2 linked regions of the Rhinolophus ferrumequinum genome follow. The protein of the gene in region 1 purifies or fractionates together with the protein of each later gene. This does not show direct contact. Links are inferred from orthologs where the notes say so. Each region holds a gene or a part of one and is shown on either strand. Other genes may lie near its edges. The genes, in order: CXXC1 and SETD1B.

Region 1 (14,881 bases):
AACCATCTTCCTCAGGGACTGGGTAGCCCATGGCAATCAGAGCGCTGCACCTTGAAGCAGTCCTCACCTGTCGCTGCGATTTGTGGGATCCTACCAATGCGGTGGTGGCTGCGAGTACCAGAGACCTCCAAAATATAAAGACAACTTTCTGGCTTTGTGGGGCAAGAGGAGGTGAAAGGCCTCACGCTCCTTACTTGGCAACAGTGGTAACGGTAGCAATTAAGGGGTTGGAAAGGAGGGGAGGTGGAAGTGGGAGGAGGAAGGGGAAAGAAGGGCGTTCATGACCTGGGCCCTAGACCCTAGAAACTTGTCGAGCTGCCCCCATTCCTAGGCCCAGCCTAGCCCAACTCTACCTGCAGTCAGGGCCCACGTTAAGAGGAAAGGGCGACATCCCATGTTTGTGGATTGGAAGACTAAATATTGTTACCATGGCAGTACTCCCCCAATTTCATCTACAGATTCAACGCAACCCCTATCAAAATCCCAACTAACTTCTTGGCAAAATTAGACAATTTGATGATAAAATTTGTATAAAATTTAAGGAACTCAGTGTAGCCAAAACAATATTTAAAAACAAAGTTGGAGGGCTCATACTTCCTGTCTTCAAAGCTTACTACAAAGCTACAGTAATCAAGACATATAGATATGTATTACTGGCATAACACAGATTTGGAATAGAATTGAGACTCCAGAAATGAACTCTCATATTTATTGTCAATTGATTTTTGACACGAGTGCCATAACTATTCACTGGGGAAAGAATAATCAACAAATAGTGCTGGGACAACTGGATACTTATATGCATAAAAATGAAGTTGGACCCCTACTTCATACCATACAGAAAACTCAGAATTGATCTTTTAACTCAGAATGAACCAAAGACGTAAATGTAAGTGCTTAAGCTGTAAAAGTCTTAGAAGAAAACATAGATGTGAATCTTTGTGAGCTTGGATTTGGCAATGCTTTCTTAGATATAACACTAAAAGCACAAGGGACAAAAGAAAAAATACATAGACTGGACATCTTTAAAATTTAAAAAACTTTGTATGTCAAAGAAACCATCAAGAAAGTACAAAGATGATCTACAGAATGAGAGAAAATGTTTGCAACTCCTATACCTGATAAGGGACATGTATCCAGAATATTTTTAGAACTATTACAAGTAAATAACAACAAATAACACATGAAAAAAATAGGCAAACAATCTGGATATTTCTCCAAAGAAGATATAAAAATGGCCAATAAGCACATGGAAAGATGTTCGAAATCATTAGGGAAATGCAAATCAAAACCACAATGAGATACCATTTCACACCCATTAGTGTGGCTGTAATACAAAAGTCAGATAACAAATGTTTAGGAAGATATGGAAAAATTAGAACCCTCATACACTGCTGGTGGGGATGTAAAATGGCACAGTCACTTTGGAAAACTGTGGCAATTTCTTCAAAGTTATACATAGGGCTACCATATAACCCAGCAATTCCTCTCTTAATCATATACAAGTACTCAACAGAAGTAAGATATATGTCTGTCCTTATGTGAGTGATGAGCTATGTGCACCCCTCTTATGCTGCAGGCGAAGGGCTCCATTCCTGGAGGGATATTATAGTGAGGTTGGCCAGGTGCTGTATTTAAGCAGAACAAAGGAGTCTGAAACAAGGAAATATATTCCCACATAAGATAGTAAGGGTACCACTAGCTGTGGGGGACCAATGCCCACTGCCGAAGCTGATCTTGCTTTGTCCCTTCTCTGTGTGAGTGCAGCATTGTTCCATCCAGTGCCTCTGGAAGTCATGTCTTTCTTGGCAACTCCAACACCCACTATAGAATGGGTTGACATCCTGAGACCGCTACTCCCAGTGACAGGCATTGTTATGCTATTTGCTATCCTTCATGTGGTGGGACTGCTCCCCTGGAGGTAGTAACAGATATCATTTCTTCAACATCAGCAAACCATAGGATTCAAGGTGATATTTACAGATCAGATTTATGAGGGATAGAAACGGACCAACTTAGGGGCTGGACGAGAGGTTGGTTTCCAGGGCTTGTGTGGCAACCAGCAGTAAGAGGAAAAGTCTACCACAAAACCGGAGGAGCAGGCCTTTGTGTTTTTAGAGGAAGTAAGTGGAAACTATCATGATCTGAGTTTGGAAGTCTGTCTCATATTTCTGTATTTTGCATTTAGTATAACATTTACATAAGCCATAAAAAGAGTATTAACTGTTATGCATCTTCAGTAGTCATAAACAGTTGGACTGTATAGGAAAACCCAAAGAATATTATTATTATGACTGATATTACTAGCAGACAGGTAAAGACAAAATGGTTTCTGAGTTCAAGATCAATTTGTAGGTATACCAGCCTTGTGGATTTCTTGGGGTAGCTGTCTACCTCTGATGTCAGCAGCTTCTCATCCTAGAGGAGTCTTTGATGTCTACTACAGGTGGAGGTGAGTGTCGGAGACAGAGGTAGATGTCCATTTATAGTTAGGACCTGATAAGTTCCCTTCCAACAGAGTTGGAAAGTGTCTTTTATTTGAAGTCTTTTCTAATAAACAATATCTCCACGTGCCAGTCAATGATATTCAAAGTCTTTGTCTCTTGGGAGCTCACTGTGAAAGGAGGCAGATACCAACTTGGCATTTTATTGAAGTGACTTTATCAATATTTGGCAATAGTGTGAGATGTCTCCTTTTAATAATGTCAGCTCGTAAGTTCCTTCCTCTAATTTAAGACCAACTTAAATGCACAATGATGCATGAGGGAATGCAAAAACTGAAAAATGGGGTTAGCCAGGGAGCCTGAAAGAACCAAGCAGCTGTGCTGGGTTTCCCATAGCCCCAATTATTCATTTAATTTACATCCATTGTTTACCCATACAATATATTGTAGAAGTTTTTTTTATCACTTATTGTAGAATAGTTCCTATGCAATTTAACATAAAAGACAACTCTTTTGAGGTGTACCAGGGGCCTTTCTAGTACACAGCAAAGTTATTCCTACTTATATTGAGATTTTAACCCTTAAAACCTCAATTTCTAATGAAAACTAAGAAGTAAGCAGTTAGCATTCTTTCACTTGGCAAATTGATGAAAACATTTTATAACCTCTAAAAACATATTTCATAGACATCAAAAGTCAGTTAGCTATTAACGTGGACTTATTTTTGTAAACACGGGTAAAATATATTACATTTAATATCAATAACTCGAAAGATATATCTGTTCTACTTGAACCAACACACTTAAACTTTTATCTACTAAAGATTAATCTTAGATCTTGAAAAGCCTTTGAGTTAGTTTCTATGTATCTGAGAATTTTAGCATATCCAATCCTTAGAAGCACTTGTCTTTCAATTAATTTTAACAATACCATCCAGAGGTAGAAAATTATCTCACATTTACAAAATGCATATGTAGACACACATAGATAGACACAGAGACCTTTTAGCCATGAGAAAAACTCACTAGTTTATAAGAGAACAGTTGGATTCAGATTTTGTTTTGGAGGCATTTACAATTTGTATCTGTCCTTGACAAGTCAAGTTCCAAATGACTTTTCCCCTTTTAACATAAGGACAGCCACTTTTAATACCTCAAAGAATTGGGTTGACACCTAAATCACATCATAGGTTGATCCATTTATTCAAATCCTCTTTTTAAAGTTTCAAGAAATTGTCTAAATATATGCTTTCCATTCACTCTGCTTAATTTTATAGCTGCCTTTTTCTAATTGTGTGCACAAAGATTAAAAGTATCAAAGGATCCTTGTCTTAGCCATCTTAGTATTAATGGGAGGCTGACTCTCTTCGGGCTTGTCAGCCTCAGAGACACAATCTCCCACGTCAATTTTAGTTTTTCCTTTAAGATCTGTAAAATCCGAACAAAATTCTAGGGAGAACCAGCCTTTACGTGCATATCTCCAGACAAGCCAAATGTGGTAAATATCCCTATAAGACTCCTTCATGCCCCAAAGGAAACTCAGGCAACCCCCCAAAGATTCTTAGTCACCCAAGAATACCAGAGCAAAAGCCAGTGAAAGCTTACTGGACGTAACCAGAACTGTGGCACTTTTCCAGGCACACACCCCTTTCTTGGGGTGAATCCACTCCAGAGTGCCCTGCCCTTCTCCCCGTGTGGCTCCCACTGGTTTCTCTGGGATATGCTGTATTACCACACTGGACTGTTTGTGGCAACTATCTCTGCTACTCTGAAACAACTATCATCACCCCATTTGCTGCGGCCCGCAGCGGCCAGGAGGGCTCAGCCTGAGGGGGAAGGGCGAGGAGACGTGGAGACAGGAAAGCTGGGATCGGGAGGTCCACCATCCACGGATGGTGGAGCAGTGGCGCAGTCTTTATTTCACACACGGTTTATATACAGTCTTAGAACAATTGTCTACACAAGCAACTATTAGCAGAACAAGCAGGTATCAGTAGAACATTCTGTTTTGTGTATTGGCAAGTTTGTGTGTCTGTGGCTGCATTAGTGTTATCTTGTACTTTCTGGGAAGATGTTGAGGCAAGGCTTCCCATGGGAGTGACCTTGAGGCTGCAAGGCCCTTGTCAGCTTACAGCCTGCCCCCTACACCCATTGGCTAGGGAAGGTTAGGGAAGAAAATGTCCTTTCTTTTTTGGAGCTAAAGAGAATTTAGTCTCGGGCGGCTGGTTGGCTCAGTTGGTTAGAGTGCAGTGCTCATAACACCAAGGTCAGCGGTTTGAGTCCCACATGGGCCAGTGAGCTGTGCCCTCCACAACTAGATTGAAAACGACGACTTGACATGGAGTTGATGGGTCCTGGAAAAACACACTGTTCCCCAATATTACCCAATTTAAAAAAAAAGTTCAGTCTCTCATTTAACCAGCAAAGATTCTGTTCAGACTCTCAGTAAGTAATCCAATTAAAAAGCTGAAATTAAAAGCCGCCCCCCATTATTTCTTCTTTCCCTGGGTTGTCTTGACCCTTATCCACTTCAAAGATTTTCAAAGAACAATTCAAATTAAGTCAGGATCCGCTACCTAAAGCAAGGAGGCCCAGGATTCCAAGAGAAAACTCACTCAAGTTCACTGGAGGTGAAGAGGGGAGCCGATGGGCCTTTGCTTGTACCTCGCACTGGGCCTGAGTCAACAGGGTGGTCCTGGGGACCACCTGCTTCAAAATCCTGCCGACTGCTCCAAGTAACTGTCAACGTAAGAAACATCCAAACCTGTAAAGAATTTTTATAAGAATTTATTTAAGCCAAACTGATAATTGCCAGGAAGCAAAATCTCTAATGCTTTGGAGAGTAACAGTTTTGCAGTTTCTTTTATGCATTTGAATTAAAGAGGCAACATGAGGAGATTACATGAAGGCAGGAAAAAGCAAGTTGGGGATAGGATTACAGGATAGTTAAGATTATGTGCTCTCTTGAAGGTGGCTAAGCTTATTTCAAAGATGTGTTAACCTAGATGTACAAAAACAATGGACAGGGCTTGCTTAAGACAAATCTTTTACTAAAGAAGTTATATGACTGGGGTGTGACTACCCATCAGGACCTGCCCAGTTAGGAATTTGTGATCAGATCTCCCTGTGGGATTACTTTCTGTAGGACCCCTTTTTGTCCACAATGTCAATCAATCAACAATATCCAACAGTACTTCATTAATACTAATCTTTGTGCTATAGAAAATAAGTTCTCAAAGTGTTGTCTGTGGACCCCTTGGGATACCTGAGATATTCTCAGGTGGGTTGCAAGGTCAAACCTTTTCATAATATTAGGACTTTTTTTCTTTCTCACCACATTAATATTTGTACCAAAAGCGGTAAAATCAATGGTTGTTAAAACTGCAGGCACATTAGCACATATCTAGGCAGTTGCTCTAAACTGCACTAGTATTAACCACATTGCTTACCACACACACACAATATCCAGTCCCATTTAAGAATATCTTTGATGAAGCAATAAAATTAGCAAAAAAATTGCTAATTTTATTAAATCTCAACCCTTGAAATGACATCTTTTTTTTTTCCCAGGTGGGAACCACAAGTTTATTGGGGGCTCTATGCACGCGCACTGAAGGCGTCACACGACAATTGCTATCTTTCCAGTTGTGAAAGAATTCTCGAGGCACATAGAAATGCAGAAAGAAGATTTATTGAAGTAAAAAAGGAGGAAGAGTCAGCTGGGCAGAGTCTAGAGTAGACAGCTGCAGCAGGGGTTTTATATTTTTCTAGCAGGATGTAGGGTTTTATATTTTTCTATGCAGTCTGCAGGGATTTTATATTTTTCTATGCAGGATGTAGGGTGTCTGTCAGCTTGCAGTGGGTTGCCGTTGTAATTGTCTTCTGGGAACTGTTCTGTTCCCATCTATGATAGATGTAAGTTGCTTGTCAGCTTGCAGGATAGTGCCGTTACAGTTGGCTTCCCTTGGGAATCATTCTCTTTCCACAGCTAGCCTCCAGGGGATTCAGAGCCCAGTGGTTAATTTTTAAGCTCATTCCTGCTAACTCACAAGCTCGTTCCTGTTAACTCTTTACCTGTCTCATCATGGAAATTGGTTTGTTTGGCATCTCGGACAGTGATCACGGTTTGCACCTCCTCGATCAACTTCTGTTTCTCATCATCATCAAACTGCATGTACCATTTGGCCAGGCATATCTTGCCTGCCCTGTTCTGGATGAGGATGAAGCAGATTGTGATCACTCGGATTCAGAGCCCAGCTGCCCTGATCCCGAGGCGACTGAGCAGCTCCCAATACATCTATCATTTTAATATTACGTGTGATGAAATGAGCAGCATGAAGCACTACTGCATACCACAGTGGAAGGGTTGTTTTGAGGAAAAGTACTTCTATGATGGTTTGAGTTGTGAGCTGAACTAACCACTTTTTTTCATGGAACATCATTTTTATCTGAAAGAACAAGTTATTTAGATTTGTTATTTTGGCAGACATTTAAAAAAATATGAACCAAGAGAGACCATCACTTCAAATAAAACAATTGATGGTATTTGTTACCAATGATAAAATTAGAACTTTCATACACATGATCATTGCCAACAATATGCACAACTGCCCGATTCAGCTATGCATGGTCAAGTGGTAATAGCACATTTGAGTCTCCCACCCTGCTCTTATTTGCCACTGATAGCAAATAAGGTAGTAGCACAATTTCCCAGAGGTATGCATGGGAGGATAAAAGAAGAGCTAGGAAGGTTAATAATGTGCTTTGGATCTTAGAGCCAGTTAGGGTCTCTTAATACCTTCCCCAAACAATAGGTTGAATATTCTATCAAATTGGAGGTTCGCTTCTTGGAATTGGCACATTACTATGTATTTTACTATGAGCTTTACTGGAAGCAGAGTTTTGATCGCTCATTTATCTAGTTTCTCTTTTAAAAGTCCATTCCACTCAAATCAATAATCTAGAGTTCCAACGTAAATAAAAGGGAAGCAAATTAAACCCAAAGCAGAAGGAAGTCATAGTAAAGATTAAAGTGGACATTAATGAAATAGGGATGAGAAAAACAATGAAACAAAGAATTAATCCTTGGAAAATATTAAAAACCTCTTTTAAGAAGAGAAGGTCACAGAACCTATGTAGTGGCCCCTTTGTCTATGTGTCTGTGACACTGTGGAGAGGACAATGAAGAAAAATGTTAGGAAAGGTGGGGGTAAAAAATCGGACCTCCTAAGCCACTAGCAGCAGAATCCTCAGTAGCAAATAAGTTGCTACTACCTCCAGAGCCAAGAAATCCAGAAAAACTGTCAGCAAATGGTAAAAAATCCCATTTTCTCCAGACTCTTCTTCTCAATCCAAAATGAAGTCCTGACTTTGAATGTGGACGTTTACTATGACGGTGATTCCCGCTCTAGTGTGTTTGGGGGGTGATGTTTGGAGGGAGAGGAATATGGTTATAAGTGGGGAATATATAATGACCCAGACATGTTGTATTTCATTTAACCTTCACTGTCCTCCAGTTTAGAGCATTACTCTGAGGAGACGTCTAGCTCTCTGACCTGCACAGATTTTCTTTATTGTACACGATTTAAATTTTAAAAAGTTAATTTACCTTTATTGAAGCGACTGTTGGAGAGGTATGAAATGAGAACCAAAGTGGACACCACCAGGAACCAGGCAAATCTACATTCTGACAGTGGCGGGGTGAGGGGATGATTTGGTGAAGCCGTTTGTCTCTGATTTCAAAATCTGCTTCGGTCCGGCTACTTCTCACCAAAGATGGTCAGGCCACCATCGTTTATGGCCTTCCATTTTACTCGGGACTAATTCTGCGGGGTGAGAGTGCTCTTGCAACGGTCCAGCGACTGAACCGTGCAAGGGCTGGTTAAGGAACTGCAAGGAACACGAGCAGGAAAGAGTGGCGGGAAGTGACGTGGAAAACCTAATAGTGGGATTGCTTTCCTTCGCAGCGCAAGACATTGTGCCGGAGCCCCATTAACACATGCGGAAAGGAAAAGTGATTAAATGGCGAAACGAGTGCGACTGGATCCAAGTAGTGTTATTAGGAGCGGCCGCTTTCCCTGTGAACTTCTCTGCAGTGTGAACTTCTCTGCAGTAGAAGGTACAGGCGTACGGAATCGACCTTCAAGATAGCGGCGCCCGGTGAAAGCCACGAATAGGTCGCTGCCATGTGCTGCCTGGGAACGTACGGACTCGGCCATCTTACGGAATCACATTCCAAGATGATGGCGTCTGCATAGAAGTCGTTCAGTAGGCGCGGCCATATTGCCTCCAACTTTGAGACCGTACAAGCGGTCACCGTACGGACTCGCCCAACAAGGTGGCGGCGCCCACAAGTAAGCGCGCTCAGGCACGGCCATGTTTCCTGCGAAACGTATGGACTCGGCCGCCAAACGGCCTCGGTAGTCAAAATGGCGGCGCCTAGGAGACAGTCCGGGCTCTAGGCTGGCGACCACTTGTTTGTTTATGGAGCCGATGCGCTGGGCCTGCGCAATAGGAGTACGGTGCCCGGGAGGCGCAATCAGAAGCGGAAGTAGTTGTGGGCACCTTTGCAACCGCCGCGGACACCGTAGAGTGGTGTAGGTTCGCGGGTCGCTGGCGGGGACCGCGAAGGAGTGCGCAGAGAGTCGAGAGATGGTGAGTACGGGGTCCCGGGAGAGGGTTGGCGGTAGAGGTTAGTGGGTTTGGTAATGGTGGGGTCCTTCGGCAGACGCGTGGGGGGTCTGTGGTGAACCGTAACTGGAGTCTGGGCAGAATTGAGGGGGCCTGTGGAGAGCCTTAACAGGGTTCTCTGGGAGGAATGATGACTGTCGGATGGTCTGATGGTTTTTCTGATACGTGAGCCATGTGGGAATTTTGTGATGAGCCATTGTGGGTGTCCGTAATAGAAGTTTAGTGAGGAACCCTGATGGTAGTTCCTTGGGAGTCCGAATGGGGGATTCTTTGGGCAGAGTGATAAAGAGTTTGCGATGAGCCATGTTAGGTAGTCTGTAGTGCACCGTGGTGACTCTGTATCAAGGAGTCCATGGGGAACCAGGATGGGGGCGAGGGTGACTGTGGGGTTAATAACGCGGGATGTGTGGGGAGCTGTGATGCGAAGGCTGTAGCTGAATTACGAGATGTTTGTGAGAACGCGTTGTGGGCCGGGTCTGTGAGGAGCCACAGTGGGGGCAGTGTGTGGCGAGCGGTAGGGTGTTTGTAACGAGCTTTTATGAATGTGTGGCTAGGATGATGGGGTGTCAGCGAGGTAAGTATGGGAGGTCTGGGGCTGAGCAATGGGGGTTTATAAGCAGAGTAATGGGGTGTCAGGGGTGATTGATGTGGGGGTCTGTGGGGACCATGACGGAGGGATTTATGAGGCGCCAAGATGGGAATTCTGTTGGCAGAGTGTTGGGGTCTATGGTGAGCCCTGGTGAAATTATAATGGAGGGAGAAGATGCTATGATGGGGGTCCTCTAAGAAGCCATAATTGGGGGGATCCCACAGGAGGGTGACGGTTCAGATCCAGAGCCTCCAGATGCTGGAGAGGACAGCAAGTCGGAGAATGGGGAGAATGCACCCATCTACTGCATCTGCCGCAAACCAGACATCAACTGCTTCATGATGTGAGCCAGGGAGAGGTGGGCGGGACTGACAGCTGGCAAGGTTGGGTGAGGCCGATGGGTCCCGCCCCTCACATCTGCACCACTCGCCTCATCCTCTGCAGTGGGTGTGACAACTGCAATGAGTGGTTCCATGGGGACTGCATCCGGATCACTGAGAAGATGGCCAAGGCCATCCGGGAATGGTACTGTCGGGAGTGCCGAGGTGAGGGGCGCGTGGAATGGACTGGGTAAGCAGGTGGGGCTTTGAGGGAGGAGAAGGAGCCATAATGGGAGGCTGGGTCTCAGGGAATAGTGATACGTGTCTGTGGGCAGAGTGATTGTTCTGTAGTGAGCAATAATAGAGAGTCACACTGGAGGGGGCAGCTGTACTCTGGAGTAGGGGGACAGACCATTGGGTGGGACAGGAAAGAAGAGGGAAAAAGAGTTCTGGGATAACCCAAATCCCCAATGTCAGCCTCCCCGGCCTCATCCTCTGTTCTACAGAGAAAGACCCCAAGCTGGAGATCCGCTATCGGCACAAGAAGTCACGGGAACGGGACAGCAATGAGCGAGACGGCAGTGAGCCCCGGGATGAGGGTGGAGGGCGCAAGAGGCCTGCCCCGGATCCAGACCTGCAGCGCCGGGCGGGGTCAGGGACAGGGGTTGGGGCCATGCTTGCTCGGGGCTCTGCTTCGCCCCACAAATCCTCTCCACAGCCCTTGGTGGCCACACCCAGCCAGGTGAGTGGCTGTGGTGGCAGGGATAAGTAAGGTGATCCCATCTCAGGCCCAACTTGGGTTCCTGACTTGTGTTCTGGGCCCCTTCCTTCAGCATCACCAGCAGCAGCAGCAGCAGATCAAACGGTCAGCCCGCATGTGTGGCGAGTGCGAGGCCTGCCGACGTACTGAAGACTGTGGCCACTGTGACTTCTGCCGGGACATGAAGAAGTTTGGGGGCCCCAACAAGATCCGGCAGAAGTGCCGGCTGCGTCAGTGCCAGCTTCGGGCCCGGGTGAGCATGGGCAGAGCTGGGCAGGGTCAGGTTAGGGGGCCAGTGTGTTCAGGAAGAGCTCATTGAGCCTAGGATGGGTGGGCTAGGTGGGGTGGGGCCTAACTGCATAGAGACAGGTGGAAAGGAGCCAGGCTTGTCCAGGTGAATGGGGCTTGGCCAGGTGTGCTGGGCTAGCAGGGGAGACCCCCAAACCCAGGAAGTCAGGGTAGGGCCAGATGTTTCTAGGTCGTCAGACATGTCAGAGCAGGAGGAACATGGCTCAGCATGTCCTAGTGATGAGGGGTGGGGGGGCAGGTGTGCCTGGGTAGGCAAGGTAGGGGCTGGTTGGGGGGGCCAGGCACTTGTGGGAAAGGCTAGGGCAGGGCCACCCTCCATCCACCTGGGGCTGACCTGGGCCTTCTCCTGCCGGCACAGGAATCGTACAAGTACTTCCCTTCGGTGAGTCCAGCCCCCAGGGCGGGGCGGGGCATGCGGGCAGGTTATTCAGGGCCAGTCCTGAGATTCTGCCCTGCAGCTCTCGCCAGTGACGCCCTCAGAGTCCCTGCCAAGGCCTCGCCGGCCACTGCCCACCCAGCAGCAGCCACAGCCATCACAGAAGCTGGGACGCATCCGTGAAGACGAGGGGTCAGTGGCGTCATCCGCGGTCAAGGAGCCACCTGAGGCTACGGCCACACCTGAGCCACTCTCAGATGAGGACCTACCACTGGACCCTGACCTCTACCAGGACTTCTGTGCGGGAGCCTTTGATGACCACGGCCTGGTGAGCAGGCAGAGCCACCCAGGGTGGAAGGGGGGAGGTTACAGAAGCAGAGTATCCATAATGAGGAGAGAGGAGGCAGATGGTATGGAAGGCTATTTGGGAACTGAGTAGGTGGTGGGGAAGTCATGAGTGGGGCAGGTGGGTCACTGTATGCTTCACTTGCAGCCCTGGATGAGTGACACAGAAGAGTCCCCATTCCTGGACCCTGCGCTGCGGAAGAGGGCAGTGAAAGTGAAGCATGTGAAGCGTCGGGAGAAGAAATCTGAGAAGAAGGTGATGGAGAGGGTGAAAAGGATGTGGGAAGGAAGAGGGCACGGGCTGAATGGGGCGAGAGCCAGAAAGGGGTGGAATGCAGGGAGAGATGGGGGTCTGGGCTGACGTATACTGTCCTGACCTGCCTTGTCCCATAGAAGGAAGAGAGATACAAGCGGCATCGGCAAAAGCAGAAGCACAAGGACAAATGGAAACACCCAGAGCGCGCAGATGTCAAAGACCCCGCGTCACTCCCACAGTGCCTGGGACCTGGCTGTGTGCGCCCTGCCCAGCCCGGCTCCAAGTATTGCTCAGACGACTGCGGCATGAAGCTGGCAGCCAAGTGAGTCATTCTTGGAGGGTTCAAGGCAATAAGGGAGCATAGAGTAGGACTTGACCAGATCCCTTTGTATGTCTACCAGTCAGTTACCTGTCCACCATTCAGTCAACCACCCACCTATCCATCCTCCATCCATCCACCGTTCGGTCACTTATCTGCTCATCTATCTACCCTTCAGTCACCTATTTGCTTACCTTTCACCGTTTAGTCACCCATTCATTCTGCCATTGTTGGCTGACCCCAGTTGCTCATCTCTCGATTGCCACCTTCCCACTTACACTTAACCCACTGCTCCCTACAGCCGCATCTACGAGATCCTTCCCCAGCGTATCCAGCAGTGGCAGCAGAGCCCTTGCATTGCTGAGGAGCATGGCAAGAAGCTGCTCGAACGCATCCGCCGTGAGCAGCAGAGTGCCCGCACCCGCCTTCAGGAAATGGAGCGCCGATTCCATGAACTCGAGTCCATCATTGCACGTGCCAAGCAGCAGGCTGTGCGTGAGGATGAGGAGGTGAGCAAGCATGCGCATGGCAGCGCAGGGCCCAGTACTGGTCCTGCCGGGCCTCATTCCTTCTATTCCATGCAGAGCAACGAGGGCGACAGTGATGACACGGACCTGCAGATCTTCTGTGTCTCCTGCGGGCACCCCATCAACCCGCGTGTGGCCTTGCGCCACATGGAGCGCTGCTATGCCAAGGTCAGGGTGTCAGCCTGAGAGGGGCACACGGTGCAGGAGTATCACTGGGTCCGTGGGGGACAGATGTGTTGTCTTGGGAGGGCATGCAGCGCATGTCCACAGTTCCCTCCATTTGTGTTCATCCTTCCAGTATGAGAGCCAGACGTCCTTTGGGTCCATGTACCCCACACGCATTGAAGGGTGAGTGTGGGTACTCTGTAGGGTTAGGGCTGCAAAGTTAAAGCTGGGGTCAGAAGTGGAATGTTGTGGCAGGATATGGGCATGGGCAAGGATAAGTGAGACCTCTTCCTTCTCTCCCCCCACTACGCTCTCTCTTTTTCCAATACCCAGGGCCACACGACTCTTCTGTGATGTCTACAATCCTCAGAGCAAGACATACTGTAAGCGGCTCCAAGTGCTGTGCCCTGAGCACTCACGGGACCCCAAAGTAAGGTTTTCCCTCAACTCCCCCCATTCTGACCCTCCTACCTTCCTCACCGCTCCACCTCCTTTCCTTTTCCCACCTGACCACTTCCATAACTCACACTTTCCCTGCCTCATTACCCTTCATTCATCTTCTTTTGTACTCTCTCATCATCTCCTTTTCCTCCCCTTTTCCCTGCCTCTTCATCCTCTGTTCCTCTCCTTTTCCATTCTTCACTCTCCCTTGAACTCTCCATGCCTTCCCTCCTTGACCACTCCTCATTCTTATTTTCCTTCCTGACTTAGCACCTCTCATTCATCCCCACTCCATCTCCCTGCAGGTGCCAGCTGATGAGGTATGCGGATGCCCCCTTGTACGTGACGTCTTTGAGCTCACAGGTGACTTCTGCCGCCTGCCCAAGCGCCAGTGCAACCGTCATTACTGCTGGGAGAAGTTGCGGCGTGCTGAGGTGGACCTGGAGCGTGTGCGCGTGGTAGGTTTTGATGCCGGATGTGGCCAGGGTGAGGTGGGTCTTCCAGAACTCCTTCTCATGGCTCTTCTCCCCTGGCAGTGGTACAAGCTGGATGAGCTGTTTGAGCAGGAGCGCAATGTACGCACAGCCATGACAAACCGGGCAGGATTACTGGCCTTGATGTTGCACCAAACAATCCAGCATGATCCACTCACTACCGACCTGCGCTCCAGTGCCGACCGCTGAGCCTCACTGGCCCAGACGTCCTCACACCCTGCATTCCAGGCGTGGGAGCTTGCTGGAATCCTCTTGCTGTTTGTAATGGTCCCTGAGTTTTTCCTTGTGCCCGCCCACCATTTGACTGCCCATCAGCCCTTACCAGAGGGTCTCAGAATTTCCTCCTGTCCTTGTCTTTCCCATTTTCTCTCCATTTTTTGTTTCTGGGTGGGACTGTGGAGGCTGCTCACTCTTGCTCAGCCTCCCTGGTTTTGTTAATAAAATTTTGTGAAGAACCAAGAAAGAGAACCACTGATGGTCTCCCAACTTTACCCAGTTGCAACTGCATTCCCAAACCCCTGGGGTAGATGGGCCGTGGCACACCTGTACTCATGAGGGACTGCACTGCAGTGCATGTGTAGGCTGAGTATACAACTGGCACCCACTTGGTGCAGGTTCCCTCCTTGAGCTGTGGGCATACGACCTGCTGAGGGAAGAGCCCAATGGCCCACCATTCACAGCCTCATTTTGAGACAGTCCAGTCAGCACTCGTTCAGTGTGTGGCTAATCGATTTACTACTGCTGTGTGAGTGTTAATATTCTCCAGACCAAAGGTGTACCCGATGATCCCAAGGCCCCCTCTTTCCCCACGAACCCCTCTTTGGGGACATGTATGCAGCAGGAGTCC
Region 2 (14,282 bases), on another chromosome or scaffold:
GGACGCCCTTCCGCTGGCGTGGCCCTCTAGGCAGCCCCACCGGCAGGGTGCCAGGATAGGCCCCGCCCCTGGCTCCCTGGGTGACCTGTGGGCAGGGCTACCCTCTTGGCAAGAAGGAACAACAGCCTGAGGACACACAGGCTGCTCCAGTCCCTCCCTGTCCCCAGGAGGTAATTGGGTGGGGGGGGGGACACAAAATTAGAAAGAGGAGGTGAAAGAGAATTCAAGAGGGGAGGAAGTAGCTGATGACAATCCTTCTGGGTCATGGGGACACCTCTCCCTTCCAAGAATCACAAGCAGACCAGTTTAGCACCTAATTGCTCCCTAATTGGTCCCAGGGAGGGAATGGAAGAACTGGCTGTAGCCCTCCAGGCAGCTGCTGAAAGGGGAGGGTGGGTTTAAATCATTTAACAATCTGCCTCCCAAGGCAGGTAAAGACCCCTGCCCCAGGAGCCTCAAGGACTCTATCCAAAGGGGACACAAGACACCCTCAGGCGGCACAAAGGTCATTGAGGATCAAGAGAGTTTTATGGTTTCATCAAAGGCAGAGCGGAACTTAGACCTTAGGTCTGGGGTTGAGTGCGGAAGGAGGGAAGAGGCTCATCAAATTATACCAGGAGCCTTCCCCCTCACCCTGGGTAGGGGGAAGGGAGACTGGTGACAGGTGTGGTGGGGTGCATGCCGTTCCTCCTGGCAAAGGACAAGATGGACCAAACCCAGCGTATCTGGGACTGGAGAGGCGAAGGCATGGCAGCCAGAAGAGCCAAGAGCACCTCCAGGTTACTTTCAACCAGACAGCTTTCCCAGCTCCCGGCAGTGATGCCAGCAGACAGCTGGCATGGGAGGGAGCCCAAAATAACCCAGACAGCTGGGGCTAGGGGATGCCATGGACATAGGCGCTGGGCTGGAAGTCAAGACACCTGGAACCCTCTCCTGGCTGCTGGTGGTGACCTCGTGACCTTGGGCGAGTCACTTATACTCTCCGGGAGGGTGAGTGACCCCCAATTAAGACAGCTCATGGAACAGCCTGTGGAGCTGGGGGCAGGCCCTGATCAGAACTCAAACTACACAAGAGGAAGAATGACGCTGGCTCCCTTCCCAAGGAGAGCCAGTCTTCCCCTCTGCCCTGAGGCTTTGCCACGTGCTCTGGGGTGGGCTGTGGGGAGGAGCTCGCAGCCAGCCAGCCCAGCCTCCATGCCCTGCAGCCACATCGGAATGGAGGCCGACTAGTGTGAAGCCTAAATGAGAGGCCAGCCGCTTTAATCGCAAATAATCCTCCCACCACCCTTTTCAGCATGCATCATTATCATTTTACACAGGAGACCCGCCCAAGGTCACCAGCACAGTGGAGATTCAAGCCCACAGCCACCTGACTTAAGAGCCTCCCTTGATTAAGCACCACAATGGCTCCAAACAAAATCTCAGGGTCAAGCCCTTACAGACTCCCCCAAATCTCAGGTAAAAGTGGGCAGGGCTGATCTGCAGCCCAAAGGAGAGTCAGTTCAAACCCCAAATGGTTCATCAAAGTCATTACATACTAGAGACCACAGGGGGGAAAGGGTCAGAGATCAAGGGCCATACCATCTCCAGCTGTGGAGCTTCCTGGAGACAAAAGACACTGGGAAACTGCGCAGACAGCTTGCGTTAGAATTAAGAGAGAGTTGCCATTATTAAGCAGCCAGCGACTCTGCCAAGCACAGAGCTTGCATCCTCACAACACCCCAGGTGTTAGCTAGCCCAAAGGTTCTTAAAATGTGTCCCCAGATGACAGCAGCAGCAGCACCACCTGGGAGCATGTCAGAAATGCAAGTTCTCAGGCCCCACCTACTGAATCAGTTCTAAAATGTGATTCCGCTCCATGCTCCAGTTTGAGAATCACTGACCTAGACCCACTTGTGCAGGTGGGCTCAGAGACTGCAGCACATGCAAGGTACAGCAGGTAAATGGCTAGCTGATATGTACGGCTCTAGAAACGGGTCGTTTTGGTGTGGGGGTGGGGAGGGAATCGTGGGAATTCCCAGGAAGTGGGAGAAGAGTCAAGAAACCTGTTCCTCACAGAGGAAGCTTGCTCAGATGACAGGTCCTGTTTCACCTCCCTAGCAGCTCAAGCAGTCACTCCGCGTGCCCAAACTGGGGGCAAGAAGGGAAGGCCCTGCTTCTGGGCAGCAAACAGTATCTTTCTAGGCATCCAGGGCCCTCCCCCCACCACAAAACACACCACTAGGAAACACTTGCCAGTGCAGCCTGTCCTATGCTACTAAATACAGCAGAGAATTCCACGCCCCAAACTCTGACAACAGAAGCTGACAGGCGGGATGGATGGACCCAGCAGGCAGCCGGTTTCACACACAGTCCCACACATCTGTGTGGGGGAGGGGCCGCAGAACTAGCCTAGCGGGTTTGAGGTGTACGCCCAACCGGGGCTCCGGGCCAAAGCCCCCCAAATAAATCTCCCTCCCAGGCTGCAAAAGGGCTTACACCTACCTTAGTGGGAGGACTCTCAAGAGTCAAACTAGGCCTGCTCCTGCTGTCCAGAGGACGGTCCACTCTGGGGGTATGGCCTGTTGCCCCTTCTCTGGCCAAGAGCCTGGGAGGTTGGGGGGGGGAAGTGGGAGGATTTGTTAGGGAGTTGATGGCCACAAACTGGACAGGATCTCCTGGACAGAAAAGGAGACTTACAAATCTCCCCCTCCCCCACCCTATTCCCAGCTGCCAAGGCAGTCCTCACTGCGCAATGGGTAAGAGGGGGGATGGTGGGTGAGTCACGAAGGTTCAGCCCGGGTGACAAGCAGCAGGAGGCCACTCATCTGCATTTCCAAAGGCCGGCCCCGTCCGTAACCCTTCTCCCAAGAAGGGCCATAGTGAGGATTTACCTGGGAGCCCTCCGACCCCCGGGCCTCGGGGAAGGCCCGCAGAACCTTCCCAGGCCCCAACCCCCCACCTCAGCCCCTAGAGGGCCGGGTTGGAGAGCACACCCTGGACAACCAGATCCGGGCGTCGGTGGCTTCCGTGAGGGCCTCACGCCCAAAGTGGGGACAAAAAATGACCCCGCGCTTCGAGCACGGCTAACAAAGGGCAGTTGGGAGCCAGACCTGGGAGCTGAGGCTCGGGTGTGCAGCTTGGGGTCAGGACCTGGCCTCCGGAGGGGCCGATCCACGTCGAAGCCCAGACCAGCCCCGTGGCCCTTTGCTACTGGCTCCCTCGCGGGAGGAAGAAGGAAAAGCACCCGCGGCCGGGCGGTGGAGCGAGGCCTCGTGCCCGCGCCCCCCCTCCCCCCACGACTGTGGCGCGGGGTCCGAGCCAGCTGCGCTGTTCGCGCTGGTAGTCGAGGCCTCCTGGCCAGGGGCGTCCACACAGGCAGCCGCTTGGAACGCGGGAGGCGGCCTCCCCTCCCCCCCGGCCCCGCCGCTTCCCTCCCACCTCCCGCCTGGCGCGCAGCGGCCGCCACCGCCCGAGCCGCGGGCGGCGCGCGAAATGGCGCCCGTCTGGCCGCCTCGCCCCACGGAGGCGAGCGCGGGAGTCCCGCCGCGCGACGCCCCCAGGCCCGCGACCCCCGAAACGGCCTCCGCCACCAGCCCCTGGCTCGGAGCGCTGTGCCCCGTGGGTCCTTGGGACCCGGCCCAGCTGAGGGACCACTGCCTGCTCCGGGCGCCCAACGACAACCGGGGAAGGAGGGAGGAAGAGGAGAGTAGCCGCCATTAGCTGCCCGCCCCCGGCCCCAGCCTGTGGCTCGGCTCTGAACCTTAAAATAAAACTCGTGTTTGGGAGGGAGGAGCGAGCGCGGCCGGGAGAACCGGCGGCGCGCGGGCTGCAGGCTGGAGAGATGCTGCGTCATGGTGCCAACATGGACGCCGGCCTTTTGTCCTTTGTTGTTTAGGAAGCGCAGGCGCGCCCCGGAGCCCCGAAAAGCCGGCTACCGAGTGCGAGACCCCCACAATCAAAAGGGAAGGAGGCCCTAGATGGGGCGGGGAGGTCTCCTCATCTTTTGCGCCCCCGTATTTCCAAAGCACTTCAATTTCTTCTCCCCACCAAGGCTCAGAACTACAAAAGGGAGGGACGAGCGCAGGCGGCTCCCTGAATGCCCGGGGTCGTTGGGGGAGATTCTTCTCGCCTCCTGGGTAGAAGGGGCAAAAAAGGTCCCAAGAGCCCTCCTCGGGGCCCCCACCCCTCCCCGATCCGGCTGCCAAACATAAAACTCCAGAATCTTCCTTCTCCCCTCAGCTCCCACACATTTGCAGCCCTTGGCCTGCTCTAAAATAAAATAATTTCCTCGAAGGGGCAAAAGGAACTTTTTTTTTTTTTAACTTACCCGCTCACCCCGGTGCCATGGAGTCTGGAAGATCAAGCTGGGCGGAGAGTTTGGAGGTGTTATTGTAAATATCTTTGGGGGGGGGAATTGTTTAGTTGGGAATATTTAGGGGAATGGTGGTGCCTTTTTGTTGTTGTTACCTTTTTGTAAGTTACACTCTCATGGCATTTTCTGTTCCTTCCACTTCTGCAAACTTTCCAGGGTTGGGTTGGCAAAAGGCGACTTCGCTGAGGGCTGTTTACTGCTCTCGATATAGCAATGGTGTGACCGTCATTAAGAGACAAAAGGCGAAAACACACAGTCAAGTCAAACAAAAGGCAAAAAGACACACGGCCATCCCAACCACCATAGAAAATACCCGCGAGTTAACGTTGGTGTTTGGCTCGAACCAGCTAGGACTTGTTTTCCACTTTTAATCTAGTTTCCTGTGACGGCTTCAGTCTCTACACAAAGAGGTCTTCCTTTCCCTCACCCACCCCTCTACCAAGACGAGAAAAACAGAGCTGTTTTTCAACTGATCAATTTTCAAAGAAAGTGTACATGTTACTAGGAAGAAAGATGACTAGCATTTATTGCTGTAAACATTTTCAAAAGCTTAAAGCTAAAGCCTTAGCTTTTTAAAAGCAAAATCGTCTAAGAGCATTTTAACTGGCTTATAATAGACAAGAGCAACAAAGACATACATGCAGATGAAGGTTCAGAAAATTAAGGACATCTCAGCAACATTAACATGAAAACTGCACTGCGTAAGGACACAATGGATTGGGTACTTACAATGTAAAAGGTTTTTAAAAACTTAAAGAGTAACAACTGCTTACAATTTTTTGTTGCTGCCATTTCGCTAGTCCTAAAACTACACATTTAAAACATTACCTTGTTAAAAAAAGAGAGAAGGAGTTAATAAAATGGCCAGGTTTAAGTGTTTAATAGAGGAAACTATATATATTTAAAAATTTATTGTTCAGTTAAGAGAATACAGATTAAGATAGCTCCAAGCTCCCCCCACCCACCCAAGAAAAAAGAGGAAAAAAATTAAATATGTCATTTACTTAGGTTTTTTGGAATTCAAAATTGTTAACTGCTGACATTAATGGTGTGCTATGACCTAGTTATACAAGACAAAGATGGATTCCAAGTCATAAGGAAAAATCCAGATCTTTTTAAAAAGTCTTCTTCATTCTTCCAATAGTGAGTCCTTTAGCTTGTTGACAAATGTTAAACACAACACTGAGGCGTCCTGAACTGGATGGTGGAGTCAAAGGAAAAACATTCCCCATTTGCAACAAAGGAAAAACCCACTTGGCCATTTAATTCCATTGCAGAAAAATGGCTCCCCTCATCTGTTGGCCTCTCCTTGGTGTCTGATGAAGGATGTTTTGAGATCAGCGTCTAATAACTCAAGCCCTATAGAAGCCGCGCGCTGATTGGCTGCCGCGCCCTGCCGCCCTGCTCCAGCCAATTACCTACCCACGGCCAAATTACAAACCCCGAAAAAGAGCCCCAATATGAAATACACCACTACGAGCCCCAGCGAGGCGGTTCCCTCGCCTCGGTCGCCAGACACGAGAGGCAGAGGGGGCTGCAAATGCGTCCTCGCGAAGCCCAGGAGCCTCGGAGTTGAACTCACAAAATGGAAGCCGCGCGCTGATTGGCCGCCGCCACTCCCGGACCTTTAATAAAGAAAGGGGAAGGAAAAGATAAATGCAAAAAAGGGGGACTCTCTCCTCCGCTGGTGGCTGGAGGAAGGAGTGGGGGGGGCGGTGGAGAGAGCATGTGTTATGGACAATTACAGGGCGCTGCTCTCCAAAAATAAAAACAGAGCAAAGGGCTTCTATCAGCCAGAGTCCAGGCGAGAGTCGCATCCTCCCAGGAATGTGAATGCTAATTTGGTTAAAATCCTGGTTTCCCCTCCCCAGCTCAGCTCCGGGGGGGAAGCGGGGGAGGGGGTCGCGGGGCAGAAGAGGAAGCTGGAGCGTATATACCTCGATTGCAACTCGTCTTGAGTCGTCTTGCCTCCCCACGGGGCTCGAGCGTCCAGACATACAATCACACACACACACACACACTCACACACCCCAAAACCCCAGTCCTTTTCCCCGAGCCCCCACGCGCCCACCTCAGGTCTTGGCAGTTTGGAAACAGTTGTGGAGGCCCGAGGCGCACGCCGCGGCTCAGAGGGTAGCCTCAGCCGTGGAGGTAGAGCCCGGGGAGACCCCTTCCCCCGCCCGCTAAGCCCCCCACCTAGGTCCCAGCAGAATAAATAAATTAAAAGGCCTTCCCCCAGGGAGGGGGGAGGCAGTGTGGGAGCGCGCGAGTGAGGGGTGGGGGGCCGCTGGGGCCCGGGGCTTTGGCGGCGCAGCTGCCGCCGCCGGGAGAGTGCCTGGGGAAGCGGCGAGGAAGGAGAGGGGAGGAGGAAGAGCGGGAGGAGGAGGAAGAGGAGGAGGGTGAGCGCTCGGGTCGGGCTCCTTAGCGGTGTATTGTGGGATGTGCGGCTACTGGGAGCCGAGCCTCCGCCGCCAGCCGCCTCCCGGGCAGCAGCAGCAGCAGCAGCAGCGGCGGCGGCGGCAGCAGCTCCGGGCCCGGCAGCCGCGGCCGCGGCGCCCCCCCCTCCTGGCCCCCCGTCTGGCCGCCCCGGCCTCGGCTCCCGCGGGGGACACCATGTACTGGCTGGCGGCGCAGGGAGGCCGGCGCCCGGCGGGGATGTAAGCGCGGCTCGGGGAGGGAGAGGCCGCGGCCGGCAGCCGGGCGGCCCGAGCCCCCAGCCCCGGCCCCGACCAAGCGGGCGGGCGGGCGGACGGGCGGGCGGCGCCAGGCCTGCCCTGAGCCCCGCGCCCCAGCCGGGCCGACCGAGCGAGCGAGCGCCACGCCGGGCTGCGGGGCGGGCACTATGGGCCGGAGCCCGCGTCCTCCGGGCACCCCGGTCCCCACCAGCCCGCACCGGAGGCCCCCAGGAGCCCCTCGCTGCTGCCCCGAGACGGTGGCCGAGCGGGCGGGCGCCTAATTCTCCCGGAAGGGTTATTATCTCGTTACATTCTTATTTTGGGGGGAGCCAGCGAGACAGTGCCTTTTGGGGCGCGCTGGTAAGGTGGGAGGGGGTGGGGGCTGGACGATTTGATTCTTTCGCGTGTGTGTAGAAGCGGCCGCCGCCGCCGAGGCGGCGGAGACGACAACAACTTGCTCGTCTTCAGGTTGGGTTAACGGCATGGAGAACAGTCACCCCCACCACCACCACCACCAGCAGCCCCCGCCGCAGCCCGGCCCTTCGGGCGAGAGGAGGAACCACCATTGGAGAAGTTACAAGTTGATGATTGACCCGGCTCTGAAAAAGGGGCATCATAAACTGTACCGCTACGATGGGCAGCATTTCAGCCTGGCGGTAAGTAGCCGGCGCGCCTCCCCGTCGCCCCCACCCACCCCCAGCCACGCCGGGGAATGAGGTCCGAGCGGCCCGGGGACCCCCGTCCAGACCACCGGGCCAACTGTCAGCCGGGTCCCCAGCCCTGGAGTTTGACAAGTGCCAGGAGGAGGGGGGTCTGCCCCTGCCTGTGGGGATTGGGACCAGCCCTCCCATTCCGCCCCCCAATTCCTCCCTACAGATGTCCAGCAACCGCCCGGTGGAAATTGTCGAAGATCCCCGGGTCGTCGGGATCTGGACCAAAAACAAGGAGCTGGAGCTGTCGGTGCCCAAATTCAAGGTAGGACCCTTCCCCCGGCCCCAAAGTCCCTCCCCCCTCCCACCCCGAGTTCGAAAATAACGCCAGTCCTGACCGAGCCCAGCCGGATTCTGAGTTCCCGCCGTCCCGGCCGAGGAAGTTTTGACGGGGAGGGGGAGATTGCTGCAAGAGGGGTGTCCCCTCTGAGCTACAGTAAACAGAATAACACTGCGGTGAAACTGTAATCAAGGCGCTGATACTGTGTCCTGCCCGCCCAGCTGGGGGCTCCGGGTCCCCACCTGGCTCCTGCCAGCCCGGGGGCTTGGCTCCGGGACCCGCCCCCCTTCCCAGCCTTGAGGCTTTAGAGAAACAACTTCCTAGCCCAAGGGGTTGCCCCTGACCCGCAGCTGGAAGAGTAGGCCAGAATGGGGGTGGGGGGTGGGGAAAGAGAAACTGTTTCTTTTTCCCCTTTCCTTTCGAACCCAGAGGACTTCCACGTTCCAAACGATTTAATCCTTCGCTTCCCGGGCCCGCCCGCGTGCATTTTTTTTTCCAAAAAAATTTTTTATTTTTTTACCCTTCATTGTTTTACACGGGCTGGCGAGTGGAGAATGTTCTGTTTTCCCTTCAGTTTCAATGTTCTCCAAACTCCCTTCCCCCTCGTCCCCTGCCAGATCGATGAGTTCTACGTGGGCCCGGTGCCTCCGAAGCAGGTGACATTTGCCAAGCTGAATGATAACATCCGCGAAAACTTCCTGAGGGACATGTGCAAGAAGTATGGGGAGGTGGAAGAGGTGGAGATTTTGTATAACCCCAAGACCAAGAAGCACTTGGGCATTGCCAAGGTGGTCTTTGCCACCGTCAGGGGAGCTAAGGAGGCCGTTCAGCACTTGCATAGCACTTCTGTCATGGGCAATATCATCCACGTGGAGTTGGACACCAAAGGTGAGTGGAGGCTGCTGGCTCAGGACACCCTGTGGAGGGCGCAAAACCTGTCAGTGTGACCCCTTTCCCTCCCGGAACTCCTCTTGCAGTGTCGGGGACCCCCTCACTCTTCCTTGGGTGCCCTCCTACAATCTTATTTTCTTTGCCCCCTCCTGAGGGTAGAGTCACGTGGAGCTAAATGTGTTGTCTGTTGCTAGGAGACAAGCTGTAATTTACCAAATGTGCCGGTCCTTGGCCACTGCACCCCTAGGGACCACCTAGAAGCTTCCCCACCGCTGACACCCCCTCAGGCCCCTCTCCGAGCCCTGGTGGCCTGGGTTTAGACAGTCCCCAGTGTTGCAGTATGTTAGGGGAAGAGGCAGGGTTTGTTTATTTGGGGGGGTGCTAAGGGGAGCCACTAGGATGCATTTCAGTACATAAAGAGTAGGTTCCTCAACTAACAAGAGAGTCCTCCGAGGATCCAGGGTGTACGTCCCTCCCCATACCGCCCCTAACCCCTGGAAGTGAGAACCAATCTGGGCCCAGAGTGAGGTTTCATTGATAATGTTCCAGATACTGCTCCGCGGCTGCACTGGGTGCTCCAGGGTTGACACTGTCTTCCCTCCTCTCTCTTAAAGAGACAGTAGCACCTCCTGAGCAGTGCTGGCTCACTCCCAAGTGGCTGGCTGGGGAGGCCACACCTCCCACCCTCGGGGTCCTGGGAGGCTTCTCCTGGATGCTGGCTGGAGGGGCATGCAAGGACTCTAGTTCCCACCAGGACAGAAGAAGGTGCCGGGTTCTCTGAGGACCAGCCAGCCCTGTGACTGGGTCCAGAGTCTCTTGAGGTCTCTTAGGAGAACCCTGCCTGGGCAGGCATAGGTGGAAGGCTTCCAGGGATTTTGTGAGCAACTGGGGCATTCAACTTAAGACAGAAAAATCTAAATCTTTATTTTTGGTTCTAATAACGAATACATGTTGACCGAATCTCAGGCGTTGCTGGGGGCTATGGAGGGGTGCATGTCCCGGGCAGGCACTGTTATCCCATAAGTTCTTGCTGAGCTGTACCTTGTTCTGAGTCTCCTGGGGGCACAAGCCCAGGTTCCTGTCCAAGCCACAGCTCCCCTCACATCCCTTTCTCTAGTTTCTCAGACTCTGGGGGGGAATACAAACCCTTTCAAATCTACATCTCTCTCCGGGGGCTGCAGTCCTAAGACTTCAATGTGGAGCCCTTTCCCTCCCGTCACACACCCACGTTAAGCAGTGTGTGATCACCAAAATTTCATTTCTGCAAACAAAAAAAAGGGGGTGGGGGTGGCCCTCAGAGACTGCTAACTAAGTTTGTATTTCAAGAAAGAGACCAGTAATGCATAGCTCAAGGAATGCGTCTTCTTTGCATATGTAAGCAGCTGCCTCACAGGGCTCTATAAATATCAATAATCTGGGGCCCCCTGGTCTGCAGAGGCCTTCTCTGCTGGTGGAGTGGGGTGGAGGGTTACCAGACATGGCTCATGGGGCCGAGCCCCAGGCACAGCTGGGGAGTCTGGTCAGAGGAAGGAGGCCTGTGGAGTTGACAGGAATGGGGTACTAGAGTGTGTTTTATAAACGCTGCTGGTCACCTGGCCCCAGATAGTTAACAAAAAACTGTCACTTCTGTGTCACTGGGTCTGCTCTCCACTTGCTACCAGGCCCTGGCATTTAAGGGGGAAGGCAAAAGGACAGGACTGGGAAGACCTGATTCTTTGGGTGCCCAGGTGACAGGAAGGGGCTTTGTATTGAGTGTGGCATTTTGTATTTGGGGGAGTCCCAGCCCCACAAGGCATTAAATTCTGAGTCTCAGGATGAGAAAAATCACACAGTGTAGCAGCTTCACTGAACATATAGGACTCCTGAGTGAGGTGCAAAGAGAGGTGGGAACTTGGTCAGGGTCACACAGCTTCTCCAGGCTTGGGGTCTCAGGCACAAGGGCCCCACAGGCAGCCGTCCTGTGGAGGCTGTCCCGTCTGAGAGCCTCGCTGAGTCCTTCATCCCTTGTTCTTCCATAGGGGAAACCCGCATGCGGTTTTATGAATTGTTGGTCACAGGCCGATATACACCCCAGACCCTCCCAGTGGGCGAGCTGGATGCTGTCTCTCCGATCGTGAATGAAACCTTGCAGGTAGGTTTCTCACCATCAGCACCCCCTCCCCATCACCAGCTTACTGATGTGCCCCTCACCCCCACTGTCACCATCTCCAGCCTTGGACACCAGAGCCTAGGAGGGAAAGTAGCCTGGCCATGCACTGGCTGGGAGTCCCACAGACCCCAAGACCACCTGGGGCCCACTTTCCATGTGGATGCTGAAACTGCTGCCCTTGATGTCCTGTGCATCCCTCTAGCCCTGCCCCCAGAAAGCAGAGTTCAGGTCCCTCTTTCCAGAGCAAGACTGACTCCTTCCCCAACCACTGCCTCCTAGGACCACCTTCACCTAGAGAGATTCTCATCCCAGCCCTTCCCCAACCAACCTTAGGAATAGCTTTTCCAGAATGAAGAGACTTTGCTCATTTGCTGGTCAGCTGAGTTCATTAGGTGCATTTACCATGTCATACTATTTAAATCCTAAAACACTGGGAGGCTGGAGGGGACAAGGCCTTTGGCCACCCCCACACTCCCAGGAACATAGTTTCCATGGTTTTTCTTGCTGCTCCTGCGGGAAGGTCTTTGATTTCTGCCAGCCTGAGACAGGAAGGAAATCCTAGTTAAAACCAAGATGTCAGGATCTTCTGTTTTCTCTGCTTGAGGGATTAGGAAAAACCCTCAAGGTTCTCTGAGGATAGTTGGTGACTCTAAGAGTAGAGAAGGGTTAGGATCATCCAGAAACTCCTCTTCAGTCCCCCACCCCCCAATCCTTTTACCATGCTGCAGGTCTAGAGTGACCAATTTGCCTCTGAGCTCCCCAGCAGCCAGAGTGAGAAGGGAAAATAGCCCCATTCCATTCCATGTTCCCCATCCCCGTGATGTCACCTACACCTCTCTCTCTAGCTGTCAGATGCCCTGAAGCGCCTCAAGGATGGTGGACTGTCTGCAGGCTGTGGCTCTGGATCATCCTCTGTCACCCCCAATAGTGGTGGGACACCCTTCTCCCAGGACACTGCTTACTCCAGCTGCCGCCTGGACACACCCAACTCCTACGGACAGGGCACACCCCTCACACCACGCCTGGGCACCCCCTTCTCCCAGGACTCTAGCTACTCCAGCCGCCAGCCCACACCCTCCTACCTCTTCAGCCAGGACCCCACGGTGACCTTCAAGGCCCGGCGACACGAGAGCAAGTTCACGGATGCCTATAACCGCCGCCACGAGCACCATTATGTCCACAACTCTTCTGCAGTCACTGCAGTGGCAGGGGCCACGGCTGCTTTCAGGGGCTCTGTGGACCTCCCATTTGGGGCACTCGGCAGCAGTGGCCCTCCATTCAAGGTTCAACCACAGGATTCAGCCACGTTTGCCCACACTCCACCACCTGCCCCAGCAACCCCCGCTCCTGGAGTCACGTTCAAGTCTTTCTCTCCCTATCAGACTCCTGTGCCCCCTTTCCCCCCACCCCCTGAGGAGCCCCCCACCACAACCACCTTTGGGGCCCGTGATAGCGGGGACTTCCGAAGAGCACCTGTACCTCCACCCTTGCCGCCCACTGAGCCCCTGGCCAAGGAGAAACCGGTCACGCCGCCTGGCCCACCACCCCCCGATGCCAACAGCATGGAGCTGGGTGGCCGGCCGACCTTCGGCTGGAGTCCTGAGCTCTGTGACAGTCCAGGCACACCCACACTGGAGGCATCACCTGCAGGGCTGGAGAAGCCCCACGACAGCCTGGACTCCCGCATCGAGATGCTGCTGAAGGAGCAGCGCACCAAGCTGCCCTTCCTTCGGGAGCAGGACTCGGACACGGAGCTCCAGATGGAGGGCAGCCCCATTTCCTCCTCTTCCTCTCAGCTCTCCCCATTGGCCCCCTTTGGCACTAACTCCCAGCTGGGCTTTCGAGACCCCACACCACTCTCCTCACGCCCCTCCAGCACCGGCCTGGAGGATATCAGCCCCACGCCACTGCCTGATTCGGATGAGGATGATGAACTTGACCCGGGCCTGGGGGCCCGGCCCCCACCTGAACCAGGCCCCCCAGACCCTGCCGGTCTTCTGGGCCAGGCAGCTGAGGTGGCCTTGGACCTGGCTGGAGACAGGACCCCAACCTCAGAGAAGATGGATGAGGTACCACCATGTCTGTCCATCTCTGTCTGGGATTAGTTTTGTCTGTCTTGTGTCTCCCTCTTTCCCCCTTTAAAATGTTATCCCCTTAGAAAATCTAGATAAGACACAGAAGCAATAGGGCTAGGACAGCCAAAATAATAGGTCAATCAATATATGGAGAATAAAACGAGGATGCAAAAAAGCATCAGGCTGAGCATTTGGTTTGGCCCTGAGCTCCCTAGCAGCCATGGAGAGAAGGTAAACATGACCAATTCTGTTGCTCACCTTGTTAGGTATGGGAAATCAAGACTTTTCCTAGGGATCAATTCTGACTTGAGGTTCTTTGGTAGGAGTTTGCTGAGACCCCAAAGAGTATGAATTGTGGTGATGATTCTGGGCCCCCTTCTTTGTTGGGTGGCTTGGGGATGATCAGGGCTGATCCTGAGGCTCAGGCAAACTGGGGAGAGAGGTTGCCCAGAGTGCTTTGCTGGTCTAGGCTAGAGCACTGTCTCCCAGAACCTGGTACCCTCTGAAGAGATGGGAAACTATGGTGGGCAGGCAGGGAGGGCACTGAAATTTCCCTTCTGCTCTCCATGGCTCCAGGAGTGAAGGAGTTAAGGGTTAGTCCCGGAAGGAGGCCCACAGCCAGAAGCAGGCAAAGTTGCCCTCTCTCTACACTCTCCTCATCCTTAGATCCTCACCTGGGGTGTCAATGCCCAAACCTCCAGTCTCAGGGTTGGGGTGAAGGTTGCTGTGTACCACATTCTCCTGGTGGGGTGTCTGGGGGAGTTTAGTTTTAGGTCATTTTCCTTGGCTTCCATTTCTCCCCCTTCCTTGTCCAGGCACCTGCCCTGGCCCTCCTGGAGACCTGCATTGGAACCTGTGGGCCCGGCGGGCATGAGCAGCCAGGGGTTTAGACAGAGCTCCGTGCCCCTGTGGGTGGCTGCGGGGCAGAGGGTCCCCCTTCCCAAGCCCTTTGATTAGGCCGGTTTGGCTGCCTCGGGGAGGAACAGTGAAGAACTTGGCCTACCTGGGAGGGGATGGCAGGTGGCTGGGCTCCAGGGGGCCAGCCTCCAGGCGATTCTGGGGAAGTGGTTTCAGGGGCCAAGGAATCCAGGCAGGGGAAGTTGACAGGTGTGCAGAGGTGCTGGCCATCCTCTCTTCCCTTCTTATGG

What was found.
Region 2: the proteins of CXXC1 (region 1) and SETD1B purify together in Homo sapiens (affinity purification with mass spectrometry; 11 studies listed by BioGRID and IntAct, counting the BioPlex papers as one, with this or other methods). This does not show direct contact. The link is inferred for Rhinolophus ferrumequinum from reciprocal best matches to the Homo sapiens genes CXXC1 and SETD1B.

The regions. Positions count from the first base shown.
Region 1 is NC_046302.1:41,094,707-41,109,587, reverse strand, and holds CXXC1 (CXXC-type zinc finger protein 1), read left to right. Parts: upstream 1-8,872; 5' UTR 8,873-9,094; coding exon 9,095-9,097; intron 9,098-9,946; coding exon 9,947-10,065; intron 10,066-10,166; coding exon 10,167-10,267; intron 10,268-10,548; coding exon 10,549-10,784; intron 10,785-10,875; coding exon 10,876-11,055; intron 11,056-11,469; coding exon 11,470-11,493; intron 11,494-11,569; coding exon 11,570-11,815; intron 11,816-11,980; coding exon 11,981-12,088; intron 12,089-12,225; coding exon 12,226-12,410; intron 12,411-12,708; coding exon 12,709-12,916; intron 12,917-12,991; coding exon 12,992-13,102; intron 13,103-13,232; coding exon 13,233-13,282; intron 13,283-13,432; coding exon 13,433-13,529; intron 13,530-13,845; coding exon 13,846-13,998; intron 13,999-14,076; coding exon 14,077-14,223; 3' UTR 14,224-14,493; downstream 14,494-14,881. UniProt on the Homo sapiens protein: Transcriptional activator that exhibits a unique DNA binding specificity for CpG unmethylated motifs with a preference for CpGG.
Region 2 is NC_046308.1:5,455,249-5,469,530, reverse strand, and holds the start of SETD1B (histone-lysine N-methyltransferase SETD1B), read left to right. Parts: upstream 1-6,862; 5' UTR 6,863-7,011; intron 7,012-7,185; exon of another isoform or gene 7,186-7,323; intron 7,324-7,370; exon of another isoform or gene 7,371-7,389; intron 7,390-7,497; 5' UTR 7,498-7,511; coding exon 7,512-7,685; intron 7,686-7,905; coding exon 7,906-8,004; intron 8,005-8,636; coding exon 8,637-8,907; intron 8,908-10,928; coding exon 10,929-11,041; intron 11,042-11,904; coding exon 11,905-13,128; intron 13,129-14,282. UniProt on the Homo sapiens protein: Histone methyltransferase that catalyzes methyl group transfer from S-adenosyl-L-methionine to the epsilon-amino group of 'Lys-4' of histone H3 (H3K4) via a non-processive mechanism.